Linked DNA regions of Caenorhabditis elegans. The protein of the gene in region 2 interacts with the protein of the main gene of each other region in a pairwise test. Each region holds a gene or a part of one and is shown on either strand. Other genes may lie near its edges.

The links.
Region 1: the proteins of B0281.5 (region 2) and cul-3 interact in a two-hybrid assay, tested with the Caenorhabditis elegans proteins (one large-scale study listed by BioGRID).
Region 3: the proteins of B0281.5 (region 2) and sma-4 interact in a two-hybrid assay, tested with the Caenorhabditis elegans proteins (one large-scale study listed by BioGRID).
Region 4: the proteins of B0281.5 (region 2) and B0001.7 interact in a two-hybrid assay, tested with the Caenorhabditis elegans proteins (one large-scale study listed by BioGRID).

What each region holds. Positions count from the first base shown.
Region 1 is NC_003283.11:175,783-183,579, reverse strand, and holds the start of cul-3 (Cullin-3), read right to left. Parts: upstream 6,002-7,797; 5' UTR 5,937-6,001; coding exon 5,880-5,936; intron 5,111-5,879; coding exon 4,194-5,110; intron 3,389-4,193; coding exon 2,752-3,388; intron 2,098-2,751; coding exon 1,719-2,097; intron 1-1,718. UniProt on the Caenorhabditis elegans protein: Probable core component of multiple cullin-RING-based BCB (BTB-CUL3-BTB) E3 ubiquitin-protein ligase complexes which mediate the ubiquitination and subsequent proteasomal degradation of target proteins.
Region 2 is NC_003280.10:2,299,346-2,302,605, forward strand, and holds B0281.5 (BTB domain-containing protein), read right to left. Parts: upstream 1,617-3,260; 5' UTR 1,474-1,616; coding exon 1,360-1,473; intron 1,310-1,359; coding exon 1,064-1,309; intron 1,012-1,063; coding exon 894-1,011; intron 743-893; coding exon 597-742; 3' UTR 509-596; downstream 1-508. Other genes in the region: B0281.6 (BTB domain-containing protein), read right to left, coding at 2,056-2,216, 2,305-2,419, 2,469-2,711, 2,765-2,884.
Region 3 is NC_003281.10:5,814,475-5,820,732, reverse strand, and holds sma-4 (Dwarfin sma-4), read right to left. Parts: upstream 4,502-6,258; 5' UTR 4,457-4,501; coding exon 4,385-4,456; intron 4,185-4,384; coding exon 4,107-4,184; intron 3,952-4,106; coding exon 3,637-3,951; intron 3,062-3,636; coding exon 2,921-3,061; intron 2,617-2,920; coding exon 2,512-2,616; intron 2,467-2,511; coding exon 2,253-2,466; intron 2,022-2,252; coding exon 1,861-2,021; intron 1,729-1,860; coding exon 1,601-1,728; intron 1,553-1,600; coding exon 1,387-1,552; intron 1,342-1,386; coding exon 1,240-1,341; intron 932-1,239; coding exon 809-931; intron 761-808; coding exon 668-760; 3' UTR 536-667; downstream 1-535. Other genes in the region: R12B2.7 (Ovule protein), read right to left, coding at 5,220-5,426, 5,479-5,499. UniProt on the Caenorhabditis elegans protein: Involved in TGF-beta pathway.
Region 4 is NC_003282.8:12,150,673-12,156,001, forward strand, and holds B0001.7 (Movement protein), read right to left. Parts: upstream 3,574-5,329; 5' UTR 3,571-3,573; coding exon 3,331-3,570; intron 3,288-3,330; coding exon 3,129-3,287; intron 3,085-3,128; coding exon 3,019-3,084; intron 2,973-3,018; coding exon 2,718-2,972; intron 2,659-2,717; coding exon 2,323-2,658; intron 2,274-2,322; coding exon 1,976-2,273; intron 1,856-1,975; coding exon 1,650-1,855; intron 1,598-1,649; coding exon 1,516-1,597; intron 1,467-1,515; coding exon 1,300-1,466; intron 1,254-1,299; coding exon 1,143-1,253; intron 1,097-1,142; coding exon 1,031-1,096; intron 976-1,030; coding exon 837-975; intron 785-836; coding exon 702-784; 3' UTR 520-701; downstream 1-519. Other genes in the region: B0001.2 (uncharacterized protein), read right to left, coding at 1-166, 240-292.

The DNA.
Region 1 (7,797 bases), on a different chromosome or scaffold from region 2:
GAAAAAGGCAAATTTTACTAGGGAATGGTGTTACCCCTGCAATCGCTAGGAGGACAAAACAAAGTGAAAATGGAAGATCAGATCTATGGCTACAAGAATCAGTTTTTGGAATCTGCTTAACTCGGTCCCAAAGCTGAAATTTTCGGTCTTAAAAAGTAGTCCTTTTTTTGCTCAAAATGCCGTTTTTCGTGTGTAGAAGTGGCTACATAAAAGTTTGGCACTGCAGCCGCCGTTCGAATGGCCGATTGGTGAACTCTTGTGCTCATTAATCTAAAGGTCACGGGTTCGTTCCCCACTAGGTATTAATTTTTTTTTGAATTTTTCCTCTAGCATGAAATATGCACAAAAACACGGTTTCTTCCGTTTTTTGGTAACTTCGGAATAAATTTTTTGGTTCCTGGGAATCATAAAAGTAATTTGGAAACTTTTTGGAAGTTTTCTTTTTTTGATAAATTTTCACTTTTCTCCCACCTGATGTATGCACATTTTTTTCTTCAAAAATAATTTTTCAAAATTTTTTCAAAAAGTGTTTGGTTTGAAAGAGCAGCATTAGTTTGGATATTTCTACGATTTTGGAGGATCAAATGTCATTTTTAGGAGAAAACCACTGTTGTTTTCTCTAGACTTTTTCACGAAAAGGACCTACTTTCAAAGACTTCCAGCTCCGTTGACGAGTAAAATAAAAAAGAGTTGTCAACTGCAAAGTTATTTTAAAAGTACCAATAAACAAATTGTCAGTTGAAGTTACTCTGCTAAATTTTATGGGTAGAGAGATATGGACATTAGTAATTAAGTAAGTTAAAGCTTCACTTCGATTAGCTATATCTCTCTACCCATAAAATTTAGCAGAGTAACTTCAACTGACAATTTGTTCATTGGTACTTTTGAAATAACTTTGCAGTTGACAACTCTTTTTTATTTTACTCGTCAACGGAGCTGGAAGTCTTTGAAAGTAGGTCCTTTTCGTGAAAAAGTCTAGAGAAAACAACAGTGGTTTTCTCCTAAAAATGACATTTGATCCTCCAAAATCGTAGAAATATCCAAACTAATGCTGCTCTTTCAAACCAAACACTTTTTGAAAAAATTTTGAAAAATTATTTTTGAAGAAAAAAATGTGCATACATCAGGTGGGAGAAAAGTGAAAATTTATCAAAAAAAGAAAACTTCCAAAAAGTTTCCAAATTACTTTTATGATTCCCAGGAACCAAAAAATTTATTCCGAAGTTACCAAAAAACGGAAGAAACCGTGTTTTTGTGCATATTTCATGCTAGAGGAAAAATTCAAAAAAAAATTAATACCTAGTGGGGAACGAACCCGTGACCTTTAGATTAATGAGCACAAGAGTTCACCAATCGGCCATTCGAACGGCGGCTGCAGTGCCAAACTTTTATGTAGCCACTTCTACACACGAAAAACGGCATTTTGAGCAAAAAAAGGACTACTTTTTAAGACCGAAAATTTCAGCTTTGGGACCGAGTTAAGCAGATTCCAAAAACTGATTCTTGTAGCCATAGATCTGATCTTCCATTTTCACTTTGTTTGTCCTCCTAGCGATTGCAGGGGTAACACCATTCCCTAGTTAGCAAAAAAAACCCAACTTTGCCAACTTTCCCATGTCCCATGGGAAAGTTGGCTGCAGCGATTGGAAATTGATTTTTTTTTCAAATTATCAATTTTTTTCAAAAAAATTCGAAAAACTATAATTTCCTTTTCATACCTATCGCATCTTTTCCCTTATTCTTTCTGACCAAAATCCGCTGCGACGCTTTTCCGAGAGCCAGCGACTGCAAATTCCTCTTCAACTCTCGCTCGGGAATCTTAAGCTCATCCATCAGCTGCTGACATGAGATCCGATTGTGATGGTTGAACTGAAGGAGAATGATCATCTGATGCGTATTGACCTGGAGAATCTTGTGCTCCGGTTTTCGTTCTTTCATCGACTCTCCACTGCTCGACGGTCCAGGACCATTTTCCTCGTTTGACATGGATGCTTTTGGTGGTGGATAGAATGTGGCTTTGACGTCAGCGTTTCCGAGAAGTGTGTTGATTGTCAGCTTACGGCCAGTGTGCTTTTCAGTGTAGTATTGTGTGAACATCTGAAAAACGAGGGGAAATTGAAGAAATTCCAAAAATCTTTGTGAAAAAATATTTTTTTAAAAATTGCCCTGGTTTTATATTTTAGCTTGAAAGCACGTTTAATCGCACCCAATAATATTTTTAAACTCGCGCCAGAGATATTCTCATTGGAGCGCACCGTGTTGTGTCGATTTACGGAGATTTCAGTTTTTCCACAAAAATGAAACATACTTATTGAAAAATTGAAATTGGCCTGAAAATTTCATGAGAAATCTCGTAAATCGACACAAGTGTGGCGGTCCAATGAGAATGTCTCTGGTGCGCGTGTGAAAAGCGATTTCAAGCAAAAATAATAGATATTCGGAATCTTTTTTGGCTTTTCTGGCAGAAAAATGGATTTCTAGGTATTTGGTCAGAAAAACTAGAAGAAACGTTTTTTTTTTGAATTCATCTCATCGCGACTGGAAATTAAATTTTGAAAAAAAAACATACTTGTTGTTTTTTGATTGGAAAAACCGAAAAAAATATATATTGTCTCTAAAATGCACATTTTTCTGTATAAAAAATCCATCTTTTGGCAAAAAACGACAACCCTGCGTGTAAGCAGACATTTTTGCGGGTTTTGTGAAACATCAAGCTCAAAAATTGCAAAACCAATTGAAAATTCGAATTACCTCATAGGCAACCGACAACTCTTGCGGCAACACAACCGGATTACACTGAACCGTCGGCCAAACGCCCGCCGTCAAAACTCTAAGCGATATGTCAATGCTCATTTTGGTCGGCTGAGCCTCTCGCCAGTCTCTGAAGCTTGTGGCCAGTGTCAGCCAAAGCTCCTTGTCTCTGAACATATTCTCAAGCTTCTGAGTAAACTGGCAACCACACTCTGTCTTCAGCTTTGCCAGCAGAGCCTTCTCCACATCGTCGGAGCACGATTTGTCGAGCAAGAGACGTTTGGCGAGGTATTGCTTGAAATACTTCTCGAATACATCCTTCTCCTGTAGATAGCGGAACAAGATCATCACATTGTCGAGCTTATTGTCCATTTCGGCGTCCGACACACATTTCAGACCGCTTCGCAGCATATCGTCCATGTAGAGGGCCACAAATTCCGGCGATTGGCGATTCGAGTTGAGGAACGTCTCGAAATCATGCTGGAAGCGATTCTTAAAGTCACGATCGTCGGCAAACGCAGTGGTGAGCAGACTGGAGAAGTAGTCTTTGAGCTGGAGCAATTCGTTGACAAAATTGACGGGGTTTTTGAGCAGATCCTCATTTTTCACAATGTTCGAGCCGGTTTCGTTGAGATATCTGGAAAAAAAAGTTAACTTTTCTTGCTGAGCAACCCCCAATTCTGCTCTAGTTTTCTGAATGCTCCGTGTTCAACTGTTAGGGTTGGTGTTATCTAAAAACTAAAACCACCAACAGCTGAGGCGTTTTAAGGAGAAGCGGCGGTGTTCGACGTAATGGACAACAGAACAAATAAACAGATTGCTGCGGGCGAGTGACACGGGTTTAGGTCAGAAAAGTAGAGTTTGATAAATAAAAATACAGTAAATTGGCTGGAATTTAAATTTCTTGAAGCGAAAACGTGGCCGCGAAACCTCTACTAACACGGCCATGTGTAGATTTACGCGACTCGTGTACTCCACGTGGATTATTTTTTACGGTTTCTGGCTGAAATGCTTGCATTGGTGGTGTTTTACCATTAAAATTAGAAATAATTTGAACGATTAAGCATTTTAGCTAAACACTGTAAAATCCTCTTCAAAAAAAGTGCCAAAGTAAAGTCTAGATTTAACCATCAAATACATAAATTTTCGAGGAGCACAAAAGCTGGTTAAACCGACACATGGAGCCATTTTGGGTGAAATTTTCAATTTTTTACAAAATAAAATCATTGAAATCTCCGCATTAAAGCAAAAACCCGTAATTTCTGGGGTAAAAAAACAAAATTTCCCCTCGAAGAGTACACAGGCTTCGTAAATCGACAGATAACCATGCTAGTGCCTTTTTGTGGTGAAAATTGTTCAAATTTTAATTTTACAACGTTCCTCCCACGGCTGTAATCACCAAATAATTCAATTTCTAAAAAAAAATCGCGCGAAAAACTCACTCGCTAACCGCCTTAAGCAGCGCCTTCAATCCACCACCCGGTACTGTCACCGAATCTCCGATACGTTTGAAAATACGGAAAATGCGAGTCAAATCCTCAATCTTCTTGTGCTCCAACATAAACTTCACACCACCATTCTGCATGTAGACAATCGTCTGAATATGCTCAGCAACCATCACATCATCCATCACCTGCAGGATTTTGGCCTCTGTCATTTTGTCAAGATATCTCGACGCTCGGCTCGCCTCGTCGTGCATCGCAATCTCCACCTGTGCCAGATAGAAGCACGCGTCATTGTCGCCAGAAAGCCAATTCTTGCACACATCCCGATAGTAATCACTAGTCTCCTTCAGAAGTGGCCTCTCAAATTCGTCCTCATAAACCGTCCGGCTATCGATTCCTAGCGAGATGAGCATATCACACGCGTTTTTTATTCCGTGCCAATTGATTTGATTCGATTTTCGATCCAATTTGATAAGCTCCAGAAGAGCATCGCGAATTCGGTCGCCAATCCCGTTTTGCCGCAGAATTTCCGTCCGATACGCGTCGAGACCCAGATTATAGACCGGCAGGACGTGATTATTCTGTGCCACGTAGATCCGATCCATATACATCAGAATATCACGAATCATGACCATGGCGACAGTGTGATCAGCCCACGATTCGGCGACAGTCTCCAGGAAGCTTCCAGAATTCATTGATTCGATAATTCGAATTCGAACCGACGCCATATGATCCTGAATCACGTCTTTCAGGCCATTATAGAGACGTTCTCCGTGCTTGTGGAGCACCATTGTATATGCGTTGCGGTAGAGCTCCTCGAAACTCAAGCCCGAATTGTTTTTGCGTTGGATTTCCTGTATGGCACGCTTCAAAAGTTCCCATGTCTGTGTCACATATTGCTCGTCTATTGTGGCCTGAAAAAAAATCATTTTTCTCCGTTTTTTTTTTGCGGCTTTTCTAAATTTTGGGCATTTTCCTTAAATGACCAAAAACTGGCCCGACTATTAAAAAATTTCCAAAATTTCATTATAAGAATTCAAAATTTTCGGAAAAGCGCCAAAATTTGCTAAACTCAGGGATTTTCCAGCTAGAAAAGTTTACGAAATATCAGATTTTAGCAAAATTTGGCAAAAATTTTGGAACTTTTTTGGGATGAAATTCGGTAAATTTCGATCAAAAATGCGTTTTTTTTTCGTGAAAAAAACGCGAAAAACTCTTATGTGAGGTCATTTTTGCGAGAACATTGCCGTTTATAACAAATTTCATGTTTCTAATGGCTAGTCCAAGCAAATAGGAAAAAAAATAGAAAATCGATAAAAAACGGCGGAAATACGATTTTACAGTTTTTCTCTTCGTTTTTTCCTGGTTAAACGGTCAAAAACAATTATTGACCATTAGAAATCCCTCAGAATCGATTTTGTTATATGAAAAAAAAATATTTTGCTTTTGTTCTTTAGAAATGACGAGTTTTGGCACGTGGCACGCAAACTGAAAATGATTGCCACGTGGCATACAGTTGCCAGTGGAAAAATATCAGTTTCTCATCAGAAATTGACGGATTGTTCGGATATCGCGGATAATTCGGCCGTAACATTCCAAGTTTCGTTTTAAAAAAATCGATTTTTCACGCAAAACAAGGAGACAGGCTTGATAGAGGACTAAAATCTGTGTGTGTAAACCTACCATAAATGGGCGAATTCTCATTTTTTGTTGTCCACCATTACCGGAGCGTCCGCTCATCTCCAAAAATGAGTCGATTCCGAACGAACTGGTCAAGTCAGAATCTCGCTCGTTTTTCGTGCACACTGAAATAAACTTGATTTTCCGTTCTCGAAAAGCAAAAAATTTGAAAAAATCGTACTGCGGAATGTTATTATTGCAGAAAAAGCGCGCACTGATAACAGAAAAAACAAAACTAACTATTTTCAGCTTCAAAGTTGAGAAGTCGCGAGTAATTCGAAATAAATCGATTTTGCTTTGTTTTTTTTTCGAAAAAACTTTGAAAATCCGGTAATTAGAATGTCACGCAAAAATAAATAGCTGGATATCAACTTAATTACTCGGAAAAATCAATATCATTATCTCGAAAGTCACTGGAATTTTAATTTCGCGCGTTTTTCCAGAACTTTTTGCCTATTTTCCGGCTCAATCAATCAATATTTCACTTCGAATCAAGTCTAAAACACCTTTAAAAGCTTCAATTTCGAAAAAAACTATGAAAAATGCGAGAAAAATCGAACGGGAACAGTGTGTTTTGGAGTTCAGAAGTGCACCGAGACTGCGTCAATGCGGGTTTGCTGGCGCGCTCCTCGTGCGTTGGCGCTTTTCTCGTGAGGAAGCTTTAAAAATTAATTTTCAACCAGAATTTTAGAATTTTCAGAGAAAATTGGCGGTGTCCACGTGGAAAAATAAATAGTGTTTTCGGTAGAATAAACTTTAAATTTATTTAAAAGTACAAAATTTGTGGAAAGCCCTCGAAAATCGGTTGAAAACGATCTAAAATGATTAAATTTACTTAATAAATTAACAATATTCGCTGTTTCAAATTAATAGAAAGTCGCAAAATAAATATTTTTATTTGAAAATAAGATGATGTTGAAATTGGAAATTTGAGAAAAAACAAGAATTTTAAAAAAATCAGAAAAATAAATAAAATTATAATTAGCCGAGTCGAAGTTGACGTTGAGAAGAGGAAGTTGAGTGATCTGAAAAAAGAAACAGTTTAATAAACGAAAACGAGTTTTAATACTTCAGGAAGGAGTACAGAAATATACAACATTTCCTATTCAAGCGGAAAACGGAAATTATGGGGTGTTTAGGGTGGCGGAAGAAGCTGGGATCAAATCATTCATACAGTTCAACTACAATGATTCGAGTCATGGCTTCCTGGATCTTATTACTTTTTATTCTGAATTTTTTAATTTCCTGTAAGTTTTGCCAAAAGCTAGGATTTTTTGAAGGCGTAAAAATCGTGTTTTGCCATAAATCTGAGTAATCTTACAATTAGTAAGCTGAGCGTAATTGTTCAAAAAATGGTATAATTTTTCACAATTTTTCTCAATTTTGCACCAATAATTCAAAAATGGTCAATTTATTATTTCGAAATTTCTGCGTTTTAGGCTTTAGGCTAAGAGAAAATCCAATAAATATTGCAGGAATACGCAAAAAATAGAATTCATTCGCGCAGGAATTCAAAATTAATGTGGTCATTTCTAATTTTTTTTGCGAAATTTAAAAATAATAGCAATTATATACAGATTTTTTTCACTGTTTTCTCTTTTTTTGCAATTAAAGTCAGGGCTACCGTACTCCTGGTGGCTCGTGTTCTTCACCGTGTATATTACGGTAACGCAAAATTCTGAGAATGCGTATTGCGCAGCAAATTTGACGCGCAAAATATCTCGTAGCGAAAACTACAGTAATTTTTTTAAAAATTGCTACTGTAGCGCTTGTGTCGATTTACGTGCTCGATTTTTGAAATGAATTTGTTTCCGAATAGTGATATCGATATTTTATTTTCCTCCGCGCCTGCATAGTATTTTCTAAATTTTTTGCTCAATTTTAATCGAGCCCATAAATCGACACAAGCGCTACAGTAGTA
Region 2 (3,260 bases):
GCATCATATAAATTTTCCTATATCTATTTTGAAAAGTACGCATATTCTATGAAAATATGTAGAAAAAACGGGAAAAATTCAAAAATGGACAGTTTTAAGTGCTTCCGTCTTATAAAAAATTACTCTAAACATTTCCGGCAAATCTGGTATCCGGCAATTTGCCGTTAATTACAATTTCCGGCAAATCGGCAAACCGGCAAATTGCCGGAATTGGAAATTTCCGGCAAATTGCCGGTTTGCCGATTTGCCGAATTTGTCGACAAATCAATTTGCCGAACAGCAATTGCCGCCCACCCCTGGTTTGATCTACGTAGATCTGCGGGAATCACGGGAATTTAGCTGATTTTTCGTGCTGACGTCATATTTTTTTTTGAGAAAAAATTCCCACTTTTTTGTAGATCAAGCCGTAATGTGGAGCTACTGTACCCCTGAAATGTTATAAAAACTGTACACTCAAAAGTGATATGACATGATCAAATTTCTGCAGAAATAGGTTGAAAAGTTGCATGAAAGAAAAGGAATTTATTCGAGAAATCATCATTTGTTTGGTGGAAAATTAATTCAGGTAACGTTGTGGAATTTATTTAATTTATCTGCTACATATGGCCCATACAATCTTCCAGATCCACCGTGTGCCGGAATGGTCGACGACCTGAACGCGTAGAATTGTAGACAAGAAAAGTCCAATATGGCTTCTCATTTGGAAAAGGTCCGTCCTCTGGGTATTGAGATTCTGTTCTTCCTGAAATCAGACCAATGTATGGATTTTGCTAATGTGACTGGAAAACTAGCAGCCTGATAGATCAATATCAAAACGACCCGACATTATTTCTTCCCTAATTTCTGATAACCGTTGTTTGCTATGCACCGACTTGGAACCTCCTAAAACTCACGAAAGTAGACATCCTCCACATAATCGCGATTTTGAATTAAAAAATGAACAAGATTGAAACCCCACGGGTAGAAGACGAGCTCACCATTGTAAGTTAAATAGTTGATCATAATAACTTTCTGGAAAATGTTAAATATTTTGTGAGCTAGTAAAACAAAATGTTTAAAAAACCTTATCCGTGTTCGCAACTACACGCATCAGTTCCTCAGGTGTGCATGTTTTAAAGTTGTCCGTTGGTGGTTGACATAATTTTGCCAAATTGCTCAGCAGGTAGTATTCAGCTTCTTTTTTCAATTCTAGCATGTCTTTTTTAGAGTCCGGAAGGACTACATCACCGGATCTCATGTAGTTGAGAACTGTTTCAAAGTGCTTCGGAGACCGATCAATGAAGAAACAGTTGGAATCGTCCTTTTCAGCCTGAAATTGAAAATGTTTATAATTAATTAAAAGTCCAAAAAGTAACTCACCGGAACATCAGTTTCAATCAACGCTTTGAAGAATCCGTCATGCTTAGTTAGAGTAGATTTCAAGGTCTCGAATACAGTTCCACCGACATTCAATTTCACTGTATTTCCAGACATATTGAAGGCTGTGCAATATCTGATATTCAGACGATTCACGACAGGTATTACAGAAAATTACAGTGGAAGAAGGTAAACAGCAAAGGGAGATAAAAGAAAGAATACAAGGCAAAAACGACTACAAATGAGCCCTCCCGTCGTCTTGAATAGTGCAGAACAGAGAGAAGAGACGCAGATAGTTTTGGTCACCAGAACCTGCGTAGATACGCCGATGTGCAAGGTTCAAGGAGGACTGTTATATCTAGGAAGATCTAGGTCAAGAAAAATGAATCGATAAACAGCGTAGATTGAGAGCATAGACCATCGCTTGTTGACGTAACGTTTTACGTTGCTCGGTTTTTAGAAACACAACTGGTATCCATTCTTTGTCTTTTTCTAGCTGTGTAACAACTATAATTGGTGACCAAGACAATGAGAGTTGCTCGATTATTTCAAAATTATTTTTAATCGCAACTAGACATATAACAGTTTTCTGGACGGGTTTAGTAATAATAATATATACTTTCATATAATAAAATAAAGATAATGTATGTAAATTTTCAGATGCCGGTTAATTTATAAATTTGATCGATTTTGAGGGTCTTAGAAATCTCCGAAGCAGTCTAACTGCACTTGTATGTCCCGCAAAGATTTGAGCGGATAATTTTCTGACCACTCGGAGTTGAAGATACAAAAACTCCAAACACGATTGGGATCATCTACGTACGGTTTATCTTTCAACTCCTCTTCGTCTTTTATCTCATCTGAAATTATAAAAATCAATTACTGTCATCAATTGAAAGGAATCACTAAATAATCCGTACTATTATATTAACTAGGTATTAAACTCACAAATAAACACTTCCGCTTTATCCTTATTTCTCTCTACAAACTCGGAAAATTTAAATCCAAGAGGGATGGTGTGTAGCTGATTTTTATAAGCGAGGTAGTGAATAACAACGACCACCTGAAAACAAGTTATATTCATTTTTTGATTTGTATGTAAATAAACTAACCTTCTTGGTGTTCGCAATCATGTTTAACAGTTCATCAGCCGTTTTGTAACTTTTAATCTTTGGCATTGAAGATTGGCACAACGTTGCCAGCTTTTCTAACGAATAGTATTCCGCCTCCCTTTTCAGTTCTTTCAGTTCATTCTCGGAGTCTGGAAGATCAACATCGCCGGATCTTATATAATTCAGCACCGTTTCAAAATGCTTCGGAGAGCGGTCGATGAAGAAACTATCGCCATCTTCAGCCTGAACTTTATAAATGTAAACTATGTAAATAATAACTGGAAAAAAGAACCAACAGGCATTTCGGTTTTGACCAACGCTTTGAAGATTCCATGATGTTTAGTCAAAGTTGATTTCAAAGTCACGAACACAGTTCCGCCAACATTCAATTTGACGATACTTTCAGAAGAGCCCATCCTGATAGAGAAACAAAACCAAAATGGGCAGCAAAGTAAATGTGTATGGATACCAACCCCCACAAGTTCTCACGTCAATGCATGTGATAGTTTGCTATTTCCGAGAACCAAACGGAAATTGGGGTTTGAGGTGTGTGACAGGCAACAAACTAGATATAATATATACGGGCTATAAACGGGTAACTCTGGTCAAATCTGAAAACTGACTTTGTTCCAGCCTTGAAAAAGTTTCTATGTACATTGATATTCACAAAAATCAGAAGAAAAAAACTAATAAAATATTTTGTCACAAAATGATCAATTGAAATAAAACAAAGTTTTTGGAACGCAATAAAAATTTATTCAGGTGAGTCTTGAAAATTGAAATAAAAATGTA
Region 3 (6,258 bases), on a different chromosome or scaffold from region 2:
AAAAAGAAAAACTCTGTGATTTCTGAAAAAAATTGCACATAAAACTGCAACATTCAGAGGAATGGCTCAGTGAAATGGGGATGAGTGTAGGAGAAGACAATAAAAATGATAGTGTTACTTTTGGAATATTTTGTGTCGCACAGACAAAGGGCCACTAGGATAGAGTAGAAAGGGGGCGACACACTCACGGCCCCTGGCAAAATGGTTCTCAAGGGACATAATTCTCCCGGAATGGGGCACTTTTTTTGTCACTGGCACAGAGGGGAGAGACCGTCGAGCACTCTTATTTTGAACTTCATTGAAGAAATTAGTGGGAATTCGTGGGAATGATATTCCATATGTGAGAATTCAACCATGAATTTTCAATCAACCATAATGGCTCTGGGTAAGTAAATATGATGACAATGGTGCATATGGTTTGATTCTTCCATTTCGTCAACGCGGCCACCAAAAGAGAAAACTCAACCGCTCATTTTTTTAAAATTTCTTTGATTTTTCCTGCAACCTATTTTTACATAGTGTGGTTGTATTTACTATGCTAAAAACTTTATTTCCAAAGTGAAAAAATTCAAAAAAGGAGATTTTACAACGCACATGAATATGAGAAACTGCTGGGGTACGTAAATACAGGTAGATATCATTATTGAAGAAAAATAAAAAATAAGTGTTAGGAACTTCCAAATTGAGAACTATTTTTGAGAAGCTGGTCCAGTATTTGTAGAGGACGGTGCAAAGTTACTTCAATCCAACATGGGGTTTCCTGGAAAAAAGTCATTGGTGACTAGTTCTTATAGAGTAGTCGACATACCTTAATAGTTTTCCTCTGGTAGACATCACCCCAAGCTTTTACAAATGAAATCGCAATTGTACAGAAGTCACGACGCATCCTGTCAACTCCACTGTCAGGCATTATCGCTGGCATCACGGACATCTGAATTTTTAAATATTTTTTAAACTTGGGTATCAGGCTTTGCTTGTTCGTGTTCGTGATATATGATGCTTTGAGTCTGTGAATTAAAAGTGTACAATTAGCTAGCTGATGCCCGAAGCATCATCAGGGTAAATTGAATCTTTGATTCTCAGAAATAATACATCACCCTGGTCGCAAATTTAGTCAGTTTCACTAATAATTTTTAAGTGAACTATGGCATTGGGTCCGTGCAGAAAATCAGTACACTGATCATATGATGCACCATATGGTGCGTCGAGTCGTTTTTTTGCTTGCAAATTACTACTAACCGGTGCATATCCAGCAACAGCTGCCGCCTGTGCTCGTACTGCTTCATTGCTTGATCGAGAACGTCGGAGCATCTGCATGTAGGCCCATCTGATGTCGAATACCTGTAACATTCTATCATTTGTAAAACTCCCTGAATGGGAACATACTGTAAATGAAGATTCATTCGGAGTGAATCGATGTGCTTTACTACTGTACTCGGATCCATGAGTGTAGTCTAGGTACCCGGATCGGACGAAAATTTTACAATTTGAAGTGATAGAGATGTTGCCATCGGCGTGAGCGGTTAATTCAACACCACGACCAATATGGATTCTGCAAAACAGTGTTATATTTTTCTTCATGATCCTGAATTAAAATTACCTTGCTTTTTCACTAGCTTCTGTTCGATGAACATTTGAAAGTGCTCCAAGACATAACCTTCCTTCATTTTCTCCATGTGGATCCATTCCACCATCTACTATTACTTTTCCATGATCGCGGGCGCTGACCTAAAATTTAGAAAATTAAAATTATTTAATAACGCCATTGCACATTTTTGATAGAATCACGCTCTTTCACAAAAATTTCTAGGCGATTTGCACCATGAATGAATAGTCATCAGATTTCATAGAAAAACATACCTTAAAGGTTTCACCAATGGGTGTATCCAGTTCATAATAAATGATTGAACACCAATTATCAAGTAATTGTGGAGGTGTTGGAACATATATTTGATTGAGATCTATCGGAATATCAGAAATAATCGGTGTGACTAGCTGAGGTTGATCTGGTGCAAATCCTCCTGAAAAAAATTGGGTCACATTTAAAATCGGTCTCTAAAATTCTCAGTGTTGATTTTGTATTAAATATATTCATGCTCATCTTGGGCAGATGAGAAATGCCTCTATCTACCCTTTATCTTCACTAAACATCCATATCAAACAAATAAGTATTAGAAGGTACGTAGGCAGGCATAAAAGTCAGAGAGAGAGAGCAGCCACCTCTACTTACAGTTTTGGAGTTCAACTCTTACCATTAAAATTGTTATCAGGAGGTGTGTTCGGCCAATCACTGCAGCTATCAATAACTCCTGCATCTCCTAAATATTCGCTCTTCATAGGTGAATTCTCCACGTGAAGTGATTGATCTGCACTTGTTATCCGATTTGAGACAACTCTTTCGTAGTGATAAGGATTAATGCAAATATTATCAGGATGATCTGATGAAGTTTGACATTGAACTAATTTCTGGAATAGTTCAGTTTATTTCCGAGTTCAAACATTTTCATGTACCACAAGTTCATTTTTGCTAACTTTTGGCCATCTCCATATTCTTGCGTAAACTACATGTGGAACACCTTTCCGTCCAGCAACTTGAAGGCGTCCATCCAAGGATCTCTAAACTTTTAAAGATGATAACTGTATTTAAAATTGAAGAATCGGAAGTACTAACAAAAATCCATTTAAAATGTTCAAACCGGAAAAAACTTTGACATTATTATTTTACTTCAAATTCACGAAAAAAAATTTGAAAATTTTGTTGGTTATTTTAGAAAGTTGGCAAGCAACATGTTTTTCTCTTTGAAATACCCATAAACTGCTGAAATTTATATCTGGAATTTTGAAATTTTCGAAAATTCCAAGCATAAAATAAAAAATTTTAGGTTACTGTACAGAAGCAAAAGGTTGTATTATTTCAAACCTGAATAGTAACACATCCAGTTGGTTGTTTTCCATTTGAAGTAACTGCTGTAATCAATGCATCCAATTCAATTCGTTTGTCTTTCAATTTTTTGACAAGAGATTCGATGGCTTTCCGTACAAAATCACTGTCCTCTCCACCCTGAAACACGTGTAAATTGTTTAATTCTCTTTCAATGCTCCAGTTTTCAAATTCCACAGCTATCTTGGCGCCTGCCGTACCCACAATGTTTGTTTTGTAGTTTGGAGTTTTTTTTAATTATTAAAACTTCTTTTGTTTTGCTTGACAAGTTTTGGAATACCTTTTTCAAAATTGTTCTGAAAAATAAAAGTGGAAAAGTAGTTTCAGAACTATTTTGTAAAAATTCCAGAGTTTTTTCTTTCCTAAAGTTTTATGTTAAAGTTTACAAGAAAGAAAAAATTCTGGAGCTCTGAAATTTTCAGAGTTTTATTCAATGATTTCATCAGAGGAAATCAAATAAAAATTTCAAGTCTAGTACGTTATTTTCAAATGTAGAGAAGTTTCAGTTTAATCTAAATTTTTGGTTCGAAAATTTTCATAAATCCCAAGCAGATATGAATATGCAACTTTCTCAGCAATTTTTTTTGAAAACTTAAAATCCATACAACTTGAAATGTATTTTAATAGGAAAACAAGTATTTTAAAACATTATATTTTTACTTAAAATTTTTCTATTTTTCAAAGACCCCTTCTACCTGCTGATAACATTGTAAAACATGTGAAATCTGCTGACATGAATCCATTGCAGTTGTGAGAACTGCTCCAGCATTCGGTGGAATCGGTGTTGGATTGACTGTAGGTGTAGGTGGAGGTTGGGATGAAGCTTGTGATGATGTACATGGTGTAGGCGTAAATACACAAGAAATGTTATTATTGTTATATGAAGATGGTTGAGAAGGTATCAAAAATCCATTAAAAGAAGACGCTTCGTCAAGAGTACTTATTGTCGGCACGTTCGGAAAATCATATGGATGATCATTTGTGAACTGTGGTGGCATTTGAGGTAATAACTGAAATTTTTTGATTTAATAAATTTTGAAAAGCTTATCGATTTGGTCACTGGGATATAAGTTTATTGATTTTTTCGTTACATATGCAGAAAAATAGTAAAATGAGGTCCATTTTATTTTTGAGAGAATTAGTTTTCAAATATCACTGAACCAACCGGATATCGATTATGCGAGTTGTTGAAATACTGCATTCCGCATAAAATATTTGCCTGGTGGTAATCCATTGGATTGCACTGAAATAGTTAAAATTAATATTGTCTGAATTTTGTACTTCAGTTTCTAAATGCAAAGCACGAAGACAGTTTTATTTGTATTTTAAGAATCAGAAGCAATTACTAGACTACTATAATAGATAAGTGTTCCCCAAAAATGTTCATATTCTCTCATTCTCTCGCGCTCTCTCTTGAACTGTCTCCTACAATATAGTGCTCACCTGTACAATTTGCTCTGCTCCATACAAAGGATCATAATACATTTGGTTAGAAGTAGACGGCTGAGATGTCATACCTGGATGAAACATTATTCGACCAATTCAGACGTTTTTCGAGAACAAAGTGACAAAGATTGAGAGATAGAAAATGATAGCAAACCCACAAAAAAGTTGAAAAAAGAGGCGGAGTCACGGGAAGCAGAGAATACGGGAGAGCTGAATGGAGAAAATGGGAGGTGCTTACTTAGAACGGTTGGTGATAATCAGATAATGAAGAATAAATGAAGTTGTGATTCGAGGTGACAACGGAAGAAGACGATTAAGGATGAAGATCAGAAAGAAGGGACAAATCAAACAGCAATGGGATCTCAATTTAAAAATAAATGTTCCAATTATATGATTTATTTCTTTTTAAATTGTGCTTTCAAGGAAAGGATGAAGTGTGTTTGAAAACTTGGATTTAGGGAAAACTCCCTAACTACAGCAGACACACCGACCTACCACAACAAACATTCCAACATTCCAGCAATCAGTCCAGCATTCCAACTATGAAAACCAAACTATATTCTTATACTCTTTGTTTTGTGCACTTTACCACGCATTTAAATAATTGTGCAATGTGTCAATTACTAAGTACATAAGTACATGTAACAACAAACAACTAAAATAAGGAGTGGAATTCTGAAAATAGATGTGATTAATTTTTGAATGCTTCTCCCACAGAAACAATTCTACAAGTAAAAATTATTCAACAGTGAGTCAGTGGAGAACTATTTAAAAAATTCTCCATAACATAAAAAAAAAACATTGCTAATTTTAATAAAGTCGAACCTCAGAATCATCTGACAATTGTCATGCCATCTCTTTTTCTTCTTTGAAAATGATAAAAGTGCAATTTTGGAAAAGAAAAAGCATTAATCGAAAGGGAAATTAGTTTATCGTTCAGGGTGGGAATGACGAAGGAAGTAAAAAAGTACATCATCAAAAGATCAGAAATGCTCAGCGAGCAAAAAATAAAATGATAGAGAAATGTGAACAGTCCATTCTGCAAAATAGTTTAAATTATCTGAAACAATTGAGAGAACTAGGTCACCCACAAACAAAGTTATAAAAACCATTTCTGGCCATCCGGGGGACTTGTTTCATTATGAATGGAGAAAACTCGGCCATCAATATATCTCGCGGCCACATGGTGAGAAGGCGAGGAGAGAGTGCAGACAGCCAAAGTCTCTAGCCTCTCTGCGTCCCTGCAAACTCTACCAACCGCAATCTACGTGACAACACCGTGTAGCATAAAATTGTGTCTTAACCAGCCTGAGACACTGTTTTGTTCAATATGCCGGGAACTGTCCCATCGGTGCGGACTGCTCATCGATCAATTTAATTCGAAGCCGTCACACCTAATTTGTGTAAGGGGGATGTGCCCATATGTGTTCTCTACCTCCACATACCCATCACTCTGCGTCTCTTCGGCGCCAGTGACGATAAATGATCATAACAGGTGAATGGGAAGAGGAGGAGAGGATGGAATCGGAGAAAAATAGAGAGAGAGAGAGAGAGAGAGAGAGAGAGAGAGAGAGAGAGAGAGAGAGTGGCACAAGTTGAAAGAAAGGGAAATAGCTAATTTTCAGACATTTTCCTGGTTTATTGCTTATCTGCCAACGGTCACGTATGTCACATCAATAGAACATATCTTTAAGTGTTGAAGCAGCAGCGGGCACTTCGTGTGTCACTAAAATTTCATATTAGGGAGGCGGTGCCGCACAATGTTGGCTGCTTCAGACCATGATCAGCAGAACGGCAATACAAATGCGCTATATACGATGATCACTATGTTGCAAACTTATTAGCGAGAGAGCATGTTTGCTTTGATCCCA
Region 4 (5,329 bases), on a different chromosome or scaffold from region 2:
AGTATCTGTTCTCACTTCAGTTTTTAAAGACCTGAACGCATCTTCCACTTTTGAATAAGAAATCGGAATATTATTCTCAACATTGATTTGGCAAAAGTCTCCCAGAAAGATCATGTGGATGTTCAGAATATCTTCGTTAACATCGAACTCGATTCCATCTGTTGGACTGAAAGTTGAAAATATTTATTAAACCTAATTCGAGAAAATATTATTTTATTTAGAAAAAATAGCAAACTCACGAGACTACGGCGACTTTCCCATTTGATTTTCGTTGTGCGGCTAATCCGAGCATTATTTATGACTAAAATATATTAACGGTCAATGTTTCAAGACGGGAAACTTTGTAATAGAAAACAGGACATCTGGGGGCGTTTTTTAATCAATCGGCAATTAAATAAAGTGAAAAATGTTTTGCTTCACTAAACAAAATTCTTTCTGGCCTCTCAATGCTCTCAAGAAGATACAACTTTCCGGTGGAAACGGATGGTACATATGAACAGAGATACAAAGTTTAATAAGAAACTGGGAAACTTTTATAAAATACAACAAATACGGGGCGCGATTAATGCGCAAGTTGGACAGAAACCGTGAAAAACTCGGCACCCGGCAAGTTATAAAGAACACGTTTTCAGGTAGGGAGATCTGTCTCAATATGATTAAATAACATGCAAAACAGAAGAAAAAGTTAGTAGTCATCATAATTATTCATCTGAAGGTGGCGTGAGACTTTTCAGCGGAGGAGACGTCGATGATTTTTCAGAACCGGAGGATCCTTTTTTCGAGTCTGAAATTAATTTTTTGTTTATTTATAGTAGCTAATATAGATAATTGTTTACCAGTTGATAAAGCTGCTGAACTCGAAAATTGCTTTGAGGCTATGAACGATCTGTTGAAAGCATTGTGAGGATTGTAGTATTCCGTTATAATAAACGGATTGCTCTGAGCAGAATCAATAATCCATTGATATTTGTGAGTCTATAATAATATTAATATAAAACTTTATTATCTTTATAAAAAAAATTCAACTTACCGGGCTTTCCGTTTGCGTCACTTGAATTTTCTTTCGAAGAATAACCACACAATATATGGCTCCTGGCTGTAATAATTAATTTTATGTTTCGAACGAAACGACTTTATCTTACAATGGGATTTTTGATAATTCCATCAGCATCGAAAATTATCGGAAAGTTTTTGGAAGTGTATGTGTTTCTGTTTAACATGTCCTTTGATTTGTAAGACACTTGTTCCTCTATCTGAAAATGAACCGAATTAAAGTTATCATAATTTCTGAAAACATACAAACAACTGAAACAGATCGATGCGACAATTGAATGGTGAAAGTTTCTTTGTTCCAGATATCCATTTCCATCGAAATTGCAGATGAGCCGTTTCCTCTTTCTTCTGGATCAGCTTCACATACGCATAGTCACCAACATTCAACTCAAAATCATCGAAAATGAAGTGAACTGAATATATTCAATGTGTTCAAATAATTTTTTTTCTGAAAAGTTATACCACTGGAGTTATAATTATCAAAGAACCATAAGATTCCGGTTTTCGCATGAGCCATAATCTTTTCGACGAGCGCATGACCTTCCTGAAAAAAGCAAAAAATTAATTTCGAAAAAAAATATAGGCCTAGAGCGAACCAATGATTCTCCGGTATATGACGAGAATTTCTTCGGTTTCGGTTGGTACTTCCGAAGTTGTGTGGAATTATATGCTGTTTGAATTTGAATGTTGTTTCCCATGTAATAATCTCGACGCTGCTCCTGATAATGGGGATTTTGATGGGGCTGTTGATACTTCAATGTAGTCACTCCAGTATTGTTTGTAATAGTTCCTGAATTAGAGGCTGTAAATGAGACATCATTATTGGAAATAAGCCATGGAATCTTAACTAGGTCTTGAATAACATTGCTTCTAATTCATGTGATGAATCGAATTTCACATGAAATCTGTCAAATTTACTTACGCTTTTCTATAGGAATGATGTGAGAAGTCTCCATGGCGTCTCGTTGGGAAATTGCCTCGATTCGCACGCTCTGCGAATTTTCCACCATATTTTCAGCGCCGCTCACAATGAGCGAATAGATTACTCTCCAGCAAACTCCACTCATTCTACGGATTCTCGATGATGTCTTCTCCAGGACTATCTGCATGAACGCTCCCGAAATTAAAGACGATTTTTTATCGATGACAGGTCCAAACATTTGTAATTCGAACAACATCGGATGATCGGTGCTTTTCACCAAAATACATGAAATCATGACCTAAAAAAAATAAAATAATTAAAATACATTTAGGATAGATTTTTCTCACTCGAACAATTTTACCACATTGAACAACACCGACGCCACACGGACTGTTGATGGGTAAATATTCTTGAATGCTCAATCGATATCCAGATCTCGTGCTCATATACTTATCCAAATCTTTTGACTGCACATCAAATTGGATCCATTGGCCTACTAGCGGAGACAACATTGGACTGTCTACTTCTCTATGTTTTGGTGGCTGCGGAAATTTCGCCGTATGATCTGCTTCCAAGGAAACCTGTGGTGACCAACAATAAAGATAATTTTTTTGTGGGAACACTTCTGTTACGAATCCGGCGTGACGAGCGATAGAGTTAGACGGCAAAGGGGGTGATTCATTCTGAAAAAGTTTTAATACTTTAATTTTGAAATTTCTAATTAATCGAATGTGTGTTAAACCTCTTTGTTGTGTCTTTCACGAATGAACTCAGCAATTTCTCTGAGATCTTTGTCACTGAACTCGCCATCGGTCTGAGCTTTTCCATCAACCACCGACATTATCCAACTGCAACCGCGTAATGATCCTCCACAATACTGAACTATGAAGGAAACGTTATCTCTATTGTCCTCTAAGTACTGCCGATAAGCGCTGGATCCGAGCACACGGCCAAATCCAGGAATCATGTACAGCTCCGCCGTGAGATGAGGATCGCGCTGAAAATTTAGTTATTTAAAAATGGAATTATGACCTTGCACTAACTTCGAAATATGACATGTTGCTATATGGATTCACAAGCGGGACGACCACTTCACTATACAAAACCGTCTGAAAGTTTTGCCGTCAATTGAGCGAAACAGTTCACGTCCAACCTTTTCATGACAAAGTTCTGAAGCCTTTCGTTTCATAAATACAGTTCCATATGATACACTCATCTCGTAAGCTTTGAGAATCAAAGGCCATGGTGAACATGAAGCAACCGTCGCGTCAGGATATAAACCAACAATCATCCAAGTGCCCAATGTGAAATTCTGAAATAAAAATTAGAGAACTCGTTTATTCAACTTCACTTACTGAGAATATCGGTGAATTTGATCTTGGAAAAGAGACTTCTACACAGGAAGTGAACACCCAAACTCCAATTTCTGTTGTTGTGTTTCGAACGACAACTCCTAATGTATTGATGATTGTTGTCACTTTCCTTACTCTCGGTTGTGGTGGCGGTTCGTTAGATCGATCACTTTGTGTGGCAAAAGTAACCACACACGGTTTTTCTTTGCCCTTCGGTAAAGAGGGAACTTTTGTTCCCGACATTATCTGAAAAAAAACGATAATTTTAGCACAAATCTGAAAATTTAAAACAAAATATGGGTTTTTAAATAGTTTTCGCACATTTTTTTGCAATTTAATTGATAAAAAACCATTTATAAATCAACCTATTCGCGTTTCAGCGAAAGGAAACAAATGAAAATTGAGAAAATAGGTCACAAAAATTAGACTGCTCGCGGTGAGGGTCTCACAGCGAAGCAATTCAAATTACAATTCATGCCATGCGCCTTTGAAACTACAGTAACCATTAAATGCATTCAAAGCGCTTTAAAAATTGTAATTTATTTAAATAATTTTAAAATTCAAATCTAAGCAGTAATAAATTTTGAAAATTGATAAAGTTTAAAAAATTAACTAGAAAACCATAATTTTAGCTTAAAATCGGAAAATTTACAACAAAATGCGGGTTTTCAAAAAGTTTTCGCATAATTTTTCGCAATTTGAATTAGTAATACAATTTTAAAATTCAATTTTTGCAGTTTCAGCGAAAACAAACCAACAAAAATGAAGAAATTATGTCACAAAAAAGATTTCTCGCGGTGAAGGTATCGCAGCGAAAAAGTTAAATTTTAAAATTATGTCATGCGCCTTTAAAACTACAGTAACCTGTAAATGCATTCAAACTACTTTCAAAAAACATGTTTTTCTTTAAATTTAATATTAAATTCCATTTTCTAGTAATAATTTTTTTAAATTTAAATTCTAATAGTATATTTTTTTAGCGGAAAAAAAAACTAATATGAGTAGATATATATATATATATACCAGCCGATGACCGCGCCTCCGGCGCGGCCAACGACTGGCGGAGTTTAAAATGTATAACACATAGATGTCCTTTTAATCATTCAAAAATATATCATTAAAAAAGTTGAAACTTCATCGATTAAATCGCATTTTCTTCTTCCATGGTATTCGATTCAGAAAATTCAAAGAGACAGTTAGAATGTTCTGATTTTTCTACACTCAAAATTATAAAACTGCGTTGCGTGTACGCCAAAATAGTCCCCGCCTTTTTCTCGTTCACTCACGGGGAAAAGGCAAAAAGCGGTACCCCAGGTAATATCAGCATCATTCGAGGTCCGCGCACCACACTATTTTTCTCACTGTTGGGGTGGCGAGCTGTCCCCCTCCCCCGAAAAAATTCCACAGAGTTACAGTTTTTTCAATAAGTTAATAACTTTCCTTAACTGGAGAAGTCTGAATAATTAACTACTAATAGTAAGTTCTTTGAATATAGATGTGACGAAACAAATAAAAACTCCTACAGTTATAGGAGGTTGTAGAGCATTTCAGAACTTTTTTGAATTTTCCAGATGATTCTAGAACATTCTAGAATTTTCTTGAAACTTCCAGAAGGTGCTGAAACAAAAATTGATTCCAGAACCAAAATTGGAATTTCCCGCCAAATGTTTTCCTCAGAAAATTTGAATTTCCCGTCAAAATCTTTTTCTCAGAAAATTTGAATTTCCCGCCAAAATTTTTCTTGGAAATTTGAATTCCCGCCAAAATTTCTTTTCTCATAAATTTTGAAGTTCTCGCCCATATTTTTAAGGGTCCCACCACGATGGGTCTCGCCAGTTCGAGGTGGTACTTAAGCTAACAAAAAGTTTCTCAGAAAATTTGAATTTCCCGCCAAAAATTTTTTCTCAGAAATTTTGAGTTTTCGGTCAAAATTTATGGGTCTCACCACGAATGTTCCAGAATTTTTTTCGAATTTTCCAGAAGGTTCTGGAACTTTCCAGAA